Stegostoma tigrinum: one gene and its partner. Each later gene encodes a partner of the first gene's protein in a complex. Links are inferred from orthologs where the notes say so. Each region holds a gene or a part of one and is shown in the gene's direction. Other genes may lie near its edges. The genes, in order: CCR4-NOT transcription complex subunit 6 and cnot11.

The links.
Region 2: CCR4-NOT transcription complex subunit 6 (region 1) and cnot11 share a complex: the UniProt entries of both Homo sapiens proteins name them as parts of the CCR4-NOT complex. The link is inferred for Stegostoma tigrinum from reciprocal best matches to the Homo sapiens genes CNOT6 and CNOT11.

What each region holds. Positions count from the first base shown.
Region 1 is NC_081366.1:37,288,148-37,296,270, forward strand, and holds the start of CCR4-NOT transcription complex subunit 6, read left to right. Parts: upstream 1-4,920; 5' UTR 4,921-5,431; intron 5,432-5,441; exon of another isoform or gene 5,442-5,835; intron 5,836-8,123. UniProt on the Homo sapiens protein: Poly(A) nuclease with 3'-5' RNase activity.
Region 2 is NC_081359.1:60,459,120-60,466,198, forward strand, and holds the start of cnot11 (CCR4-NOT transcription complex subunit 11), read left to right. Parts: upstream 1-3,867; 5' UTR 3,868-4,059; coding exon 4,060-4,378; intron 4,379-7,079. UniProt on the Homo sapiens protein: Component of the CCR4-NOT complex which is one of the major cellular mRNA deadenylases and is linked to various cellular processes including bulk mRNA degradation, miRNA-mediated repression, translational repression during translational initiation and general transcription regulation.

The sequences.
Region 1 (8,123 bases):
TGTCTAATGAATCTGTTAGAATTCTTTGAGAAGGTAATGAACAAGTTAGACAAAGGACAGCAAGTGGACATAATCTATTTGGATTTCCAGAAGGTCTTGACAAGGTGCTGCACAGGAGGCTGCTAAATAACAGCCCATGGTGTTGTGGGCAAGGAACTGGCATGGTTAGAAGATTGGCTAACTGGCAGAAGGTCAGAATTGGGGATAAAGGCTCTTTCACAGGATGTCAGCAAGGTGACTAGCGGAGTTCCACAGGGGTCCATGTTGGGACCACAATCACTTGTGTTATATTTTCACGATCTGGATGAAACTGCGCATTTGCTGCCATATTTTCAGATGACACAAAGATAGGTGGACAGAGAGGTAGGTTGTAGAAGGACTTGAACAGACTGAGAGAGTGGGCAAAGAAGTGGGGGATAGAATACAATATGGGAAAGCATGAGGTTGCACACTTTGATAAGAATAATAGAAGCGTAGACTATTTTCCAAATGGGTGAAGACTTCAGAAATCTGAAGCACAAAGAGACCTAGGAGTGCTCGTACAGGACTCTTTTAAGGTTAACCCGCTGATTCAGTTGGCAATTAGGAAAACCAAGATGACAGCAGTGTAGCAGCACAGCGTAAGGATTCCTGCCCAAAGCTCATCTGCTCCACTTGCTTTTACTATTTTTTCCACTTCCACAGGTTTCTTTCCTTACTTTGATCAAACTTATCTTCTGTGGAGAGCAAGTTTGTGCAGCATGGAGGGAAGCAAGCCTAGTGCATGGGAAATTGAGCCATAGCGGGGACAGCAAGCCCGACAAGGCGGTGAGAGAAGTCCTTTAACATTTGTGGTGACCCTGAATGCAGGGATTCCAGGTCGCCTGGCATCTGCGGTGGCAGTGAGCATGGGGAAGATCGAACTTAACTTCTGGAGGGAGCTCAGTCAAGGCAGTGGTGGCAATGGAATTGTCGCTTTGCTGGGCCTGGAGCATGGCAGTGGCTGGGATATCGGAGCAGGGACTTTAGCAGTCAGTGTCTTCGTAGCTCATGAGGTTTGGAACATAGCAGCAGCTGGAAGCCTAGATGAGGGTTTTGACGGTTGGAAATTGAGCCTGAAGCAGGAAAATGAGTCCAATGCAGCAATAAGAGATGTCCCCTGGCATCTGCAGTAGTGGCGAGAGGAGGCAGCCCAAGATCTCCCGGAGAGATGGCCAAAGTGGAGGAGATTGAGCCCTTGTATGGAGTGCGAGCTCAGCATGGCTAAGCACTTAAGATTGTTGAACTTTTAGCTATTTCTTTACTTTTCTTTACTTTTTACTTTACAGTTTTCAGACCCGTAGCTCGGGATGGATCTGCTGGCATTGGGAGGAGGTCCACAAGATGATCCCAGGAATGAAAAGCTTGTCATGTGCAAAGTGGTTGAGGACTCTGAGGAATGAAGAAGGATCTCATTAAATACTGAGAAGCCTGGATAGAGTGGATGTGGAGATTATTCCACTAGTAGCAGGGAACAGGATCTGAGGGTCCAGCACCAGAGTGAAGGGACAACCCTTTAGAATAGATATGAGGAGAAGTTTCATCAGCCAGTGGGTGAATCTGTGGAACTCTTTACCACAGAAAGCGGTGGAGTTCAAATCATTGAATGGCTTACAGAGAGAGATGGATAGATTCTTGATGCACAAGGGGGTCAAGGATTAGGGGAGAAGGCAGGTGGATGGGCTTCAGAATCATTTCAACCATGATTGAACGGTGGAGCAAACTCAATGTTCGAATGGCCTAATTCTGCTCTTACATCTTATGGTCACTTCTGACCTAATGTTGATGGGACGGTCATTGATACAAGAAGCTGAAGGTGTTTGGGCCTAAAACAATAACAAATTATGGCTGTTGTAATGCAGTGGTAGTGTTTCTATCTCTGAGACAGAAGGCAAGTTCAAGTCGCACCTGCTCCAGAGATGTGTAGTAACAGCTCTGAACAGACTGGTTAGAACAGACTGATCTGTGATTTATTTGATTGACCTTTAACAATGACATCTTAGTTTGTGTTTGATATGTCTCCAACCAATGGAGTTCCGCCCATTGATTCCCATTGACATTAGTTTTCCTAAAGGCCCTTGATTCCAGGCATGGTCAAATGCTGTTTTGATACTAACAGCAAATACTTTCACCTTACACCTTCTTTTTATAAGTTCTGTACAAGATCAGACTAAAGCTGTATTGAGTTTGGGTTCTAGCAGGGACACTCAACCCCTGGCCTGAGTGGAAAACTTCCCCAAATAGCAGTGGAGGCTAGGTAATTGAATAGATTCAAATCTCAGTTACACAGTTTGTTTATTATCAAAGGAGGTAAAAGTTAAGGATGGTGGTGGGGATCAGGCTGAAAAATTGAGTTAAGACCAAATTAGATCAGCCATGATGACCCCAAACAGTGGATAGTTTTCTCCTGATTCCACTGATGCCAGTTTTGCTCAGTATGTCAGAAACTTTACTGCAGAATAATTTGCAAGTGAGCAAAACATTTTCCAGGACACAATGAAGATTGGCCACAGATTTCACAAACTTGTGGGCAACTTTGCTCAAGGCAGTCTAATGGAGTGGGAATTCAGTAATATTGTTGACCTGAAGTGTTAGTGGTTTCTCTCTCAATCGGTTTCACTTGACCAGTTGAGCATTTTCAGTAAATTCTCTATGATTTTAAAAGCGGTGAGAATAGGATTTACATTCTAAAAGGATGTCCCTGGGAAGTGAGAGATAATAGGAACTGCAGATGCTGGAGAATCCGAGATAACAAGGTGTAGAGCTGGATGAACACTGCAGGCCAAGCAGCATCATAGGATCAGGAAGGCTGACGTTTCAGGCCTAGACCCTTCATCAGAAATGGGGGAGGGGAAGAGGGTTCTGAAATAAATAGGGAGAGAGGGGGAGGCAGATATAAGATGGGTAGAGGAGAAGATAGATGAAATGGAGACGAGACAAGTCAAAGATGGAGCCAGTAAAAGTGAGTGTAAGTGGGGAGGTAAGGAGGAGATAGGTCAATCCAGGGAGGACGGACAGGTCAAGGGAGCAGGATGAAGTTAGTAGGTAGGAAATGGTGCTGTGGCTTGAGGTGGGAGGAGGGGATAAGTGAGAGGAAGAACAGTTCAGGGAGGCGGGGATGAGCTGGGCTGGTTTTGGGATGCAGTAGTGGGAGGGGAGATTTTGAAGCTTGTGAAATCCACATTGATACCATTGGGCTGCAGGGTTCCCAAACATCATCCTCCCTAACCCTATCGCATCCTCCGACACCTCTGCCATCTGCAATCTGACCCAGCCACCAAAGATATTTTCCCCTCCCCACCCTTGGCTGCTTTCCGGAGGGACCACTCTCTCTGTGACTCCCCTGTCTGCTCCACACTCCCCTCCAGCCCCACCACACCTGGCACTTTTCCCTGAAACTGCAGGAAGTGCTACACCTGCCCTACACCTCCCCCCTCACCCCCATCTAGGCCCCAAGAAGACTTTCCACATCAAGGAGATGCACATCTGCTAATGTGGTACACTGCATCCGCTGTACCCATTGTGGCCTCCTCTTTATGGGGAAACCAAGCTTGGGGACTGCTTTGCAGAACAACTACACTTGGTTCGCAATAAACAACTGCACCTCCCAGTTGTGAACCATTTCAACTCCCCCTCCTATTCCTCAGACAACATGTCCATCCTGGGCCTCTTGCAGTGCCACAACGATGCCACCCAATGGTTGCAGGAACAGCAACTCATATTCCACTTGGGAACCCTGAAGCCCAATGGTATCAATCTCCACTCCCCCTACCACATCCCAAAACCAGCCCAGCTTGTCCCCGCCTCCCTAACCTGTTCTTCCTCTCACCTATCTCCTCCTCCCACCTCAAGCCACACACCCATTTCCTACCTAGTAACCTCATCCCGCCCCCTTGACCTGTCCGTCCTCCCTGGACTGATCTATCTCCTCCCTAACTTCCCACTTACACCCACCTTTACTGGCTCCATCGCTGCCTCTTTGACCTGTCTGTCTCCTCTCCACCTATCTTGTCCTCTATCCATCTTCTGTCTGCCTAGCCCTCCCTATTTATCTCAGAACCCCTTCCCCTCCTCCATTTCTGAAGAAGGGTCTAGGCCCAAAACGTCAACCTTCCTGATCTGATGATGCTGCGTTCATCCAGCTCTACACCTTGTTGTCCCTGGGAAGTGAGAGTTGAGGTGCAACAGGAGTCCACAAATGACATAGATAGGATGGTGCTGGAGTAGTGATCACAGTCAATGGTGAAGTTAGAAAATGATAAACTTGATGAAAGAGGCAGCAGGATTTCTCGCACAGGTTGTAAGGAGGGCAAGGTGTTAATTGAGTGGGGCAGCATGTAACAAATAAGAAAAGCTGGGACTTATTAAGAATAAACAAAGCAGCGTGTAAAGTGAAAGATGGAAAGGGTAAACATGGGATTAGGAAGGTGGTGGATGCTTGGCTGAAGTTCAGGTATTAGTAAAATTGAAAACCTATTGAAGGGAAACGACTGAACCGTCAATATCATTCCACGTCCAGTTAGCTGGTGGGGATCTAGCGCAATGCCTGGAAGTGCGACCTAATTCGAGTTACAAGATGTTAAATTAGCTCTAACAAGTTACAAGCAATAAAAACGGATCAAATATTCCTTTAAAGTCGGCACTCATTGATAGTTTTAAGCGGAGTGAAAATTACATGTTAACCCTCATCCGTTGTTGAACTTCCATTGGGCTAGTAACTTGCCATGCGGCTCCTAATTGCTTCCTTTGACGAAACTCAAGAAACAAGGTAAACGACAAACCTACGCTCGATATAATTAAGCCAATCAAATTTACGGGTATTTCCCCACCCCGCCCAAGACGGCGCTTTCAAAACAAATAAGTTCCACACAAGGAGGGGGAGAAGCAGAGGTAGTTTGTAAAATTTAAGAACATGACCTGCCGAGTGCGTATAGCTATCCAGCGGACATGCACGCCTTAATATGGACAAATCGATTTTGCTCGGTCAAAAGAGATGATTAGGGCCTTCGGCCGTCCTCACCGTTGCAGTCTCTGTAGTTTGAACGGGAATCGGCGCGCAGCGGGACATTCCGGCCAGAAGGCTCGCGCTGTCCTCAACAGCCGCAACACGCACCCCTTCCGGCGCGAGCCGCTCGTTCCGACTCTGTTTGTTTTGCTTCACGCGAGGCCGAGTGGTACGGTCCACGCTGTAGCCAATCAGCGAGCCGCAAAGGAGGGGAAAACTCTCCGGGAAATAATGGAAAGCGGGCGCCATGATGATTGTTTGCTTTTAGAACGGGTTCGCTGGGTTTGTAGGCGAAGGGAAGAAAGGTCTAGAACTTTTGTTATGTGTTCGCAGGTATAAAAATGTTTTCTCACTTCAAACCTCACGGTTTAAGGTTTCACTTTACCTGAGCAAAGCAGGGAATTAAAGGTATTTATTTGTAACGTTCTGAACCTTGCGAGGTTTTTTAGTATTTAAATTTAGAACTTCCAGCTCAAGTTTTTTTAAAAAAAGACTTAGCTAATTTGTTTGACTTTGTCGGCTTCGTTCGTTTTATTTGAGTCACCTCTTTGCCCTAAAAGTCATTTGAGTCTCGGTTGAACGGAAAACTAAGTCGCTTCTTTTATGTAGTCAATGCGAGGCCTACACGTTAGTAGTAGGGGGAGCTTTTATTTGAACGACGGAGCGACCTAGCTTTGTGGCGGAAGTGTGCGTGTGTGGTTTGATTGACAACTGAACGCGCCACTCAAACACAAACCGTTCACCAATGTGGCGCACGGCGGGTTTTTATCGACCAATGGATGCAGTGTAGGGGCGGGACATCCGTGATGAAGGTAGGTTGATTTTTAGAACGTAGTTCTTTGCGCCCCAGTATGATAATGGTAAATACTAGTGATGTGTGATTTGGGGGCGCTTAATTAGTGTACAAATTACTACAGGGTACACGCACTCATTTTGTATACTATAACGTTTCACCAGTTCGGTTGGTAAGTGAATATAGGTACAGCATCTGGAAAACAAAGTATTGAACTACTACTTCCCCTAAATGTACTAGTTTTGAAATCACAATTCAGGTATATCCACTTCACCGCCACTTTTTTGCCGTTACCTATTTTCGGGTGGCCTGAACAATCGCTGAAGTTTTTGAAACTACGTGTTTAGATCATAGACATGAACTTGGAATAAAATTCGTTGCTAAAGTGGATGACGAGGACAAAACACTATTATGCTTTTAATTGCAATTCTAGCGATAACGTCGATTGCAAAAACCCCAGTAACTTTTCCACGTGATGCTGCTGCGATTGAATGTCCTTTTTAAGGCACCCTGTAGAGTTGGGGGTGGGGGTGCGGTGAGAAAGAAACAGGTGAAAACAACTTCGGCATTAAGGATATAGGAAGTATTTTCCCTGAAGAAATGTAAAATGTAGGGACTGCTCTTCCGTCACTACTTATTTTCTAATTCTTCTGTGTTGCCTTAGCATTTAGGTAAAATGCTTTCAAGTTATAACTGGAATCATAGGATTTAACAGCAAGTTGGCTGTACAGACATGGCGCTTGTGCCAGCTCTCATATTCCAAATCCCTCTTGTATATGCACCCTTAAACACTTTTTGCTATGTCTTTCTGACGGCCTTCATTGTGCCTAATGATTAGGAATTTCTTGCCATCGGTTTGTCTGATCTGACTGCTTGCGTCCTGTATTTTAAGAATCTTCATTCTTTTAGTTAATGTTCATCTACTTTTATTAAGACTGGTTTTACGTACCTAATTCCACAGTCCTGTTCAACTTTGAACAGAAAGCTGATGGTTGAAAATACAGTGCAGCAATTGCTTGGGGGGGAAAAAAATCCAACTGCATATGTATAGGAAATAAGTGTTAGGTTTGACTAAATCCTTTTTTGAATACAAATATTGTGCATTTTTCATGTGGGTATCACCAGTAAGGCCAACATTTGTCACCCATCTCTGCATGTTGGTGGCATGAAGGTGCTTTTGACCATCTGCTGAAATGACTATTGCCAGTACACACAACTTTTCGTAGGAAAGGAGTTCCAGGACTTAGTTCCATGCTTGTGAAGGAGCTGTGATTGTGGTCGTAAGTCAGATGTCTGTTTGACTTAGAGGAACTTCCAGCCGGCAGCATTCCCATGCACCCATTGCCCTTGCCCTTGCCCTTCCAGGTGTTAGGGGTAGTGGATTGGGAAGGTACTGTTGGAGGCTTGAGTTGCTGTTGCCTATTCTCTACAACATGATGCTGTCACTTTACATTTGTTGTGAAGAGGTCTTGCTTAAATGGACAATTGTTTTAAATATAACTTCTCAATGCTGTTGAGCATCATGAATGGTGCTATCCATTCAGGCAATCGAGAGTTCTGTCAACATCCTGTCTGGTGCCTTTACAGATGGTAGACAAACTTGAATTCCCAGCCTTGGATTTCCTCTTGTAGCCATAATTTTAAGATTGGTTGTCCACTTCAGTTTCTGGACACAGATCACCACTAGGAGGATGTTAGTGAGGATTCAGCAATAGTGATACCATTCATAGACAAGACATAGTCATTGTTTGATACTTGAGTAGAGTGAATGTTAGTTGCTGCTTAAACACAAACCTGAATGTTGTTCAGATTGTGCTACATATTTACACAGATGTATTCAGTGTTGAATGAGTTTGAAATGGTGAGTATTGGACTCACCAATCATGTCCAGTTCTAACCTTCTAATGGAAGCATCGAAGTTGCTGCAGTTAATTAGGCCTGGAGGAACTCTTACAGCAGCTTACTGGAACTGAGATGATTGACATCCAGCATGCCTTACCATCTTGCTTTTGTGCAAGATGTGACTCGAACTAGTAGACACTTTCCCATCAATTCAGTGATATTAACTTTTTACTTTTGGCCAGGGTGCCTCGAGTTTGTTTTTAAACTATCCTATAATTTTCTGTTCCAGAATAATTTCCATTTTGTTTCATGGCTAAATCTGCTTTCATATTGTCAATATCTTTCTTCCAATGGCTGTAGCTTAGGAATAACGTCTAAGACAGTATTCAAAATGCTGTGTTTTTTACTTTTAATGGAATATTGGCATTGATGACAAGGGCAGCATTTGTTGTCCCATGCCTAAAT
Region 2 (7,079 bases), on another chromosome or scaffold:
TAATAAAGAGGCTTAATAAAGGCAAAGGACATGATCTGTATGAACTTCAGTAAGGGGTTCAATATGATTCTGCATGGTAGATTGGTCACATGGAATACAGGGAGAAGTAGCCATTTGGATACAGAACTGGCTCAAAGGCGAGAGACAGAGGGTAGTGACAGAGGATTGCTTTCAGGCTGGAGGCCTATGACTATCGGTGTGCCATAAGGATCAATGCTGGATTCACTGTTTTTTGTCATTTATATATATGATTTGGTGTGAATATAGGAAATATAGTTACTAAGTTTGCAGATGACACCAAAATTGGCTGTGTAGTCGACAGTGAAACGTTTACCTCAGAGTACAATGGGACCTTGATCAGATGGGCCAATGGGCTGAGGAGTGGCGGATGGCATTTAATTTAGATAAACGTAAGGTGCTGCATTATGGAAAAGTAAACGGTAAGGTCCTGGGCAGTGTTGCTAAACAAAGAGACCTTGGAGTGCAGCTACATAATTCCTTGAAAATGGAGTTCTAAGTAGACAGGTTAGTGAAGGTATTTGGTACGCTTGTCATTAGTGGCCTGTACATTGAGTATAGGAGTGATAATGGGAACTGCAGATGCTGGAGAATCCAAGATAATAAAATGTGAGGCTGGATGAACACAGCAGGCCCAACAGCATCTCAGGAGCACAAAAGCTGACGTTTCGGGCCTAGACCCTTCATCAGAGAGGGGGTTGGGGTGAGGGTTCTGGAATAAATAGGGAGAGAGGGGGAGGCGGACCGAAGATGGAGAGAAAAGAAGATAGGTGGAGAGGAGCGTATAGGTGGGGAGGTAGGGAGGGGATAGGTCAGTCCAGGGAAGACGGACAGGTCAAGGAGGTGGGATGAGGTTAGTAGGTAGGAGATGGAGGTGCGGCTTGGGGTGGGAGGAAGGGATGGGTGAGAGGAAGAACAGGTTAGGGAGGCAGAGACAGGTTGGACTGGTTTTGGGATGCAGTGGGTGGAGGGGAAGAGCTGGGCTGGTTTTGGGATGCGGTGGGGGAAGGGGAGATTTTGAAGCTGGTGAAGTCCACGTTGATACCATTGGGCTGCAGAGTTCCCAAGTGGAATATGAGTTGCTGTTCCTGCAACCTTCGGGTGGCATCATTGGGGCACTGCAGGAGGCCCATGATGGACATGTCATCCAAAGAATGGGAGGGAGAGTGGAAATGGTTTGCGACTGGGAGGTGCAGTTGTTTATTGCGAACCGAGCGGAGGTGTTCTGCAAAGCGGTCCCCAAGCCTCCGCTTGGTTTCCCCAATGTAGAGGAAGCCACACCGGGTACAGTGGATGCAGTATACCACATTGGCAGATGTGCAGGTGAACCTCTGCTTAATATGGAAAGTCATCTTGGGGCCTGGGATAGGGGTGAGGGAGGAGGTGTGGGGGCAAGTGTAGCATTTCCTGCGGTTGCAGGGGAAGGTGCCGGGTGTGGTGGGTTTGGAGGGCAGTGTGGAGCAAACAAGGGAGTGAGTGGTCTCTCCAGAAAGCAGACAGGGGTGGGGATGGAAAAATGTCTTGGGTGGTGGAGTCATATTGTAGATGGCGGAAGTGTCGGAGGATGATGCGTTGTATCCGGAGGTTGGTGGGGTGGTGTGTGAGAACGAGGGGGATCCTCTTTGGGCGGTTGTGGTGGGGGCGGGGTGTGAGGGATGTGTTGTGGGAAATGCGGGAGACACGGTCAAGGGCGTTCTCGACCACTATGGGGGGAAAGTTGCGGTCCTTGAAGAACTTGGACATCTGGGATGTGCGGGAGTGGAATGCCTCATCGTGGGAGCAGATGCGGCAGAGGCGGTGGAATTGAGAATAGGGGATGGAATTTTTGCAGGAGGGTGGGTGGGAGGAGGTGTATTCCACTCCCGCACATCCCAGATGTCCAAGTTCTTCAAGGACCGCAACTTTCCCCCCACAGTGTTTGAGAACGCCCTTGACCGTGTCTCCCGCATTTCCCGCAACACATCCCTCGCACCCCGCCCCCACCACAACCGCCCAAAGAGGATCCCCCTCGTTCTCACACACCACCCCACCAACCTCCGGATACAACGCATCATCCTCCGACACTTCCGCCATCTACAATCTGACCCCACCACCCAAGACATTTTTCCATCCCCACCCCTGTCTGCTTTCCGGAGAGACCACTGTGTCCGTGACTCCCTTGTTCGCTCCACACTGCCCTCCAAACCCACCACACCTGGCACCTTCCCCTGCAACCGCAGGAAATGCTACACTTGCCCCCACACCTCCATCCCAGGCCCCAAGATGACTTTCCACATTAAGCAGAGGTTCACCTGCACATCTGCCAATGTGGTATACTGCATCCACTGTACCCGGTGTGGCTTCCACTACATTGGGGAAACCAAGCGGAGGCTTGGGGACCGCTTTGCAGAACATCTCCGCTCGGTTCGCAATAAACAACCGCACCTCCCAGTCGCAAACCATTTCCACTCCCCCTCCCATTCTCTAGATGACATGTCCATCATGGGCCTCCTGCAGTGCCACAATGATGCCACCCGAAGGTTGCAGGAACAGCAACTCATATTCCGCTTGGGAATCCTGCAGCCCAATGGTATCAATGTGGACTTCACCAGCTTCAAAATCTCCCCTTCCCCCACCGCATCCCAAAACCAGCCCTGTTCGTCCCCTCCCCCCACTGCACCACACAACCAGCCCAGCTCTTCCCCTCCACACACTGCATCCCAAAACCAGTCCAACCTGTCTCTGCCTCCCTAACCTGTTTTTCCTCTCACCCATCCCTTCCTCCCACCCCAAGACGCACTTCCATCTCCTACCTACTAACCTCATCCCACCTCCTTGACCTATCCATCTTCCCTGGACTGACCTATCCCCTCCCTACCCTCCACCTATACCCTCCTCTCCACCTATCTTCTTTTCTCTCCATCTTCGTCCGCCTCCCCCCTCTCCCTATTTATTCCAGAACCCTCACCACAACCCCCAGTCTGATGAAGGGTCTAGGTCCGAAACGTCAGCTTTTGTGCTCCTGAGATGCTGCTGGGCCTGCTGTGTTCATCCAGCCTCACATTTTATTACATTGAGTATAGGAGTTGGGAGATCATATTGCGACTATGCAGGACATTGATTAGGCCACTTCTGGAATGCTGCGTTCAATTCTGGTCTCCTTGCTATAGGAAGGTTGTCGTGAAACTTGAAAAGGTTCAGAAAAGATTACACAAGGATGTTACCAGGATTGGAGGATTTGAGCTGTTGGGAGAGGCTGAATAGGCTGGGGCTATTTTCCTTGGGGTGTGAAAGGCTGCAAGGTGCCTCAGAGGCTTATGAAATCATGACGGGCATCGCTAGGGCGATCAGTGTTTTCCCCAGAGTCGGGGAGTCCAAAACAAGAGGGCACAGGTTTATAATGAGAGGGGAAAGATTTAAAAGGGACCTAATGGGCAACTTTTTCACACAGAGGGTGCTGCATGTATGGAATGGAGTTGCCAGAGGAAGTGGTGGAGTCAAGTACAATTACCACATTTAAAAGGCATCTAGCTGGATATATGTACAGTAAAGGTTTAGAGAGATATGGGCCAAATGGGACTAGATTAATTTAGGATAGCTGTTCTGCATAGATGTGTTGGTCAGAAGGGTCTGTTTCTCTGCTTGTACAACTCTATGACTCTAATCCAGTCTCTCTCCACATTTCCACGCAGGGCAACTAGGGATGGGCAATAAATACTGCCTAGCCAGTGTCACTTTCCTCCCATGAATGAATAAAGAATAAAGGAAACACATTCCCGAAGACAATCTCTTTCCATTTTGCGGCTGAAACTTAACCCCGGCCCTTAAGGCCAGGTTTTGCGACAGTGCTGTGAAACGGGGGCGCCAAATTTTTTGTTTGGTTTTGCGGCAGTTTTCGGCGGCCTGCGGCAGGGCTGTCGCGCAGTGTGGCTCGGGGTGTAGCTCCGCTCGGAGGGAAGAGGGAGGTGCGCTGTGGTGTTTTTTTTTGTTTGTTTCTCCCCACGCAAGGGGACGTTTCTGGTGGTGGAGCCGGCCTCCGGGCTCACGGGCCCCCGGGGCACCATGACTCTGGCTCCCAAGGAGCTGAGCAGCCTGATCGGCATCATCTGTGAGGAAGCGACCAGTAACACCTTCGAGGGCCTGTCCACCGCCTTCCACCACTACTTCGCCAAGCACGACCACTTCCGAGTCGGCTCCACGCTCGTCATGTTGCTGCAACAAGCCGACTTGCTGCCGAGCCCCCAGCAACGGCTCACCGCCCTCTACCTGCTGTGGGAGATGTACCGTACTGAGCCGCTGGCCGCCAACCCCTTCGCCGCCGTCTTCGCCCACCTCCTTAACGCCGCCCCGGTTGCCGAGGAGCAGGAGAAGCAGCTGCTGGGTAAGCCTGGGCTGGGAGACGTTACCATTCCCCTTTCCCCAGTCGGTGACTCTCAGCCTCACGGTGGACCGAAAACATGAGTAGCCAGGATTTTTCTATCTTTCCATACCACGGAGCAACAGATTGGTGTGAATCTTGAAGCTGTTGGATATGAACACATTGTTAGAATTCCAGTCTCCACACAGCAATACTCAGTTTACCTTCAGAGTGAGTTCTGTAGGTGAAACGTTTCGAAGGCTTTGCGGGATTAGAATTAGAAGGGGTAAATTTAGAACGGAAATGAGGAGACATTTCTTCAGCCAGATAGTGGGCTTGTGGAATTCATTGCCATGGAGTGCAGTGGAGGCCGGGACGTTAGATGCCTTCAAGGCAGAGATTGATAAATCCTTGATCTCACAAGGAATCAAGGGCTACGGGGAGAGCGCAGGGAAGTGGAGTTGAAATGCCCATCAGCCATGATTTAAATGGCGGAGTGGACTCGATGGGCCAAATGGCCTTACTTCTGTTCCTATGTCTTATGGATTGAATGGGGTGTTCTACTCATGCAGGTGGCCTTTAAAGTAACTTCTCTGGAGCAGATCACTACCTCAGTAAAATAAGATGAAAACGCACACCAGGGAATTTAGAGGCAGCTTGTTAGAACCTTTGCTCTTTTGAAGTCAGCTCAAATTCTGCTTCATCTGTTTCAGAGTTCAGTTTCAGTAGTTGAAAGGACGAGGAATGTGAGCTTTTTGTTTTAACATCCTCAAAATTTCCCATTGTGGTGGAACCAAATGATTGTTATGACAGTGGCCAGCTAACTGTTTTCATTTAAATTCTGCTTTATTACCGGGATAAAAATTGTAGAAAGCAGGTGAGCTTTAAAAATGTACAGATCCTGATCTTAACCTTAATGGTAGACCTATCACAGAAGTTAATTGATTAGCTTTGTGCATTCATTGGAGTCGTCAATTCAGTATGTGCTGGAATGTAAATAGCTGTCGAACATAAATGCTAACTCTTGTTTGGGTCCTCTTACTCATGTTACTTATATAAATCTAGTAGTAAACTATATAGAACATAGAACAGTACAGCACAGAACAGGCCCTTCAGCCCACAATGTTGTGCCGACCATTGATCCTCATGTATGCACCCTCAAATTTCTGTGACCATATGCATGTCCAGCAGACTCTTAAATGTCCCCAATGACCTTGCATCCACAACTGCTGCTGGTTAGTAGGTAGGAAATTGAGGCGTGCCCTGAGGTGGGAGGAGGGGATGGGCGAGCGGAAGAACAGGGAGGCAGGGACAAGCCGGACTGGCCCTGGGATGCACATGTTGGTTTTCATCCACACTAATGTCATTTGCCCAGAAAAAATTATGCATGCTTTCTAATACTGTGCCTAGTCTTCAACAGCAAGAATCAAGCTTCCCAAATATTGGCATGATGCCAGAAAAGATAACTTCAGGAGTGTGCTTTTTATTTGTCGCTACTGAAATAACTTCAGAGAGTCTGGTATCCCATCGCTAAGTCACTCTTTACTTACATGTGAAGAGTCTTTGTCACTGATCCAGCTCCATCAGAGCCAGCTCTCAGAATGAACAGGATGTCTGCCACTCCTGTTCTTATATGATGGGGACAAATGTATTAAATTGAAATTTGCATTCTTTGAAAAAAAGCAGATGGCTTTAGAAAAGCCTGGCAAAACAATAGAATGTGAGATGGATCTTATTATTAAGTTAGAGATAGTGGGAACTGCAGATGCTGGAGAATCTGAGATAGCAAGGTGTAGAGCTGGGTGAACACAGCAGGCCAAGCAGCATCAGAGGAGCAGGAAGGCTGATGTTTCGGGCCTAGACCCTTTTTCAGAAAAGAAGTGCTGTGCTCATCCAGCTCTACACCTTGCTACCCCTTATTATTAAGTTAACCTGCTTTACTCACCTAGCAACTTGTTCAAAAGCAGCAACATCCCAAGAGCAAGCTGCTTGTCTAATTTGCATTGCTTCAATGTTTGCCAAGATGGTAATGCTGCGCAGACCGAAACAACCGAGAAGAAAATTGAGTCACTAGAAGGTTCAAAATGGTACTTGGGACCAGATGAGTTGCATTCAAGCATATTGAAGGACATGAGAGTGGCTCTTGGAGGGCAATGGTCATAGTCTTTCAATCTTCTCCAGACTCAGGAACTGAAAAATTGCAGACATCATGTCCATGTGCAGTAAGGGTTGTAAGTGTGAGCCCAGCAATTATAGACCAGTCTTTTTAACTTCACAAAGGAAGTTTCTAGAAGCAGTTATTCAGGATAGAATTAGTTATCACGTGGTAAAATTTTGCTTGATTGAGAAAAGTTAGCATGAATTTTTAAAGGTGAGACTGTTTAACTAACTTGCTGGAGGTTTTGTTTTGGGGCAGTAACGCAGAGGGTCCATGCAGATAGTGCTTTGATGTGATGTACATGCTTTTCAAAAGGCATTAGATACAAAAAACTTGAGAAAAGTTATAGCTCATGGAATGAAAGGGACAGTAACAACATGGATACAAAATTGGCTGAGTGACAGGAAACAGAAAAATGGCCAATATTTTCCAGACTGGAGAAGCATTTATAATGCTGTTTTCTAGGAATTGGGATTGAGACACTTGGTTTACTTGATAGAGTTGTAGAAGTCTACAGCATAGAAGTCCACACCACCCAGACTGCACCAGACAAAAACAACCGCCTAA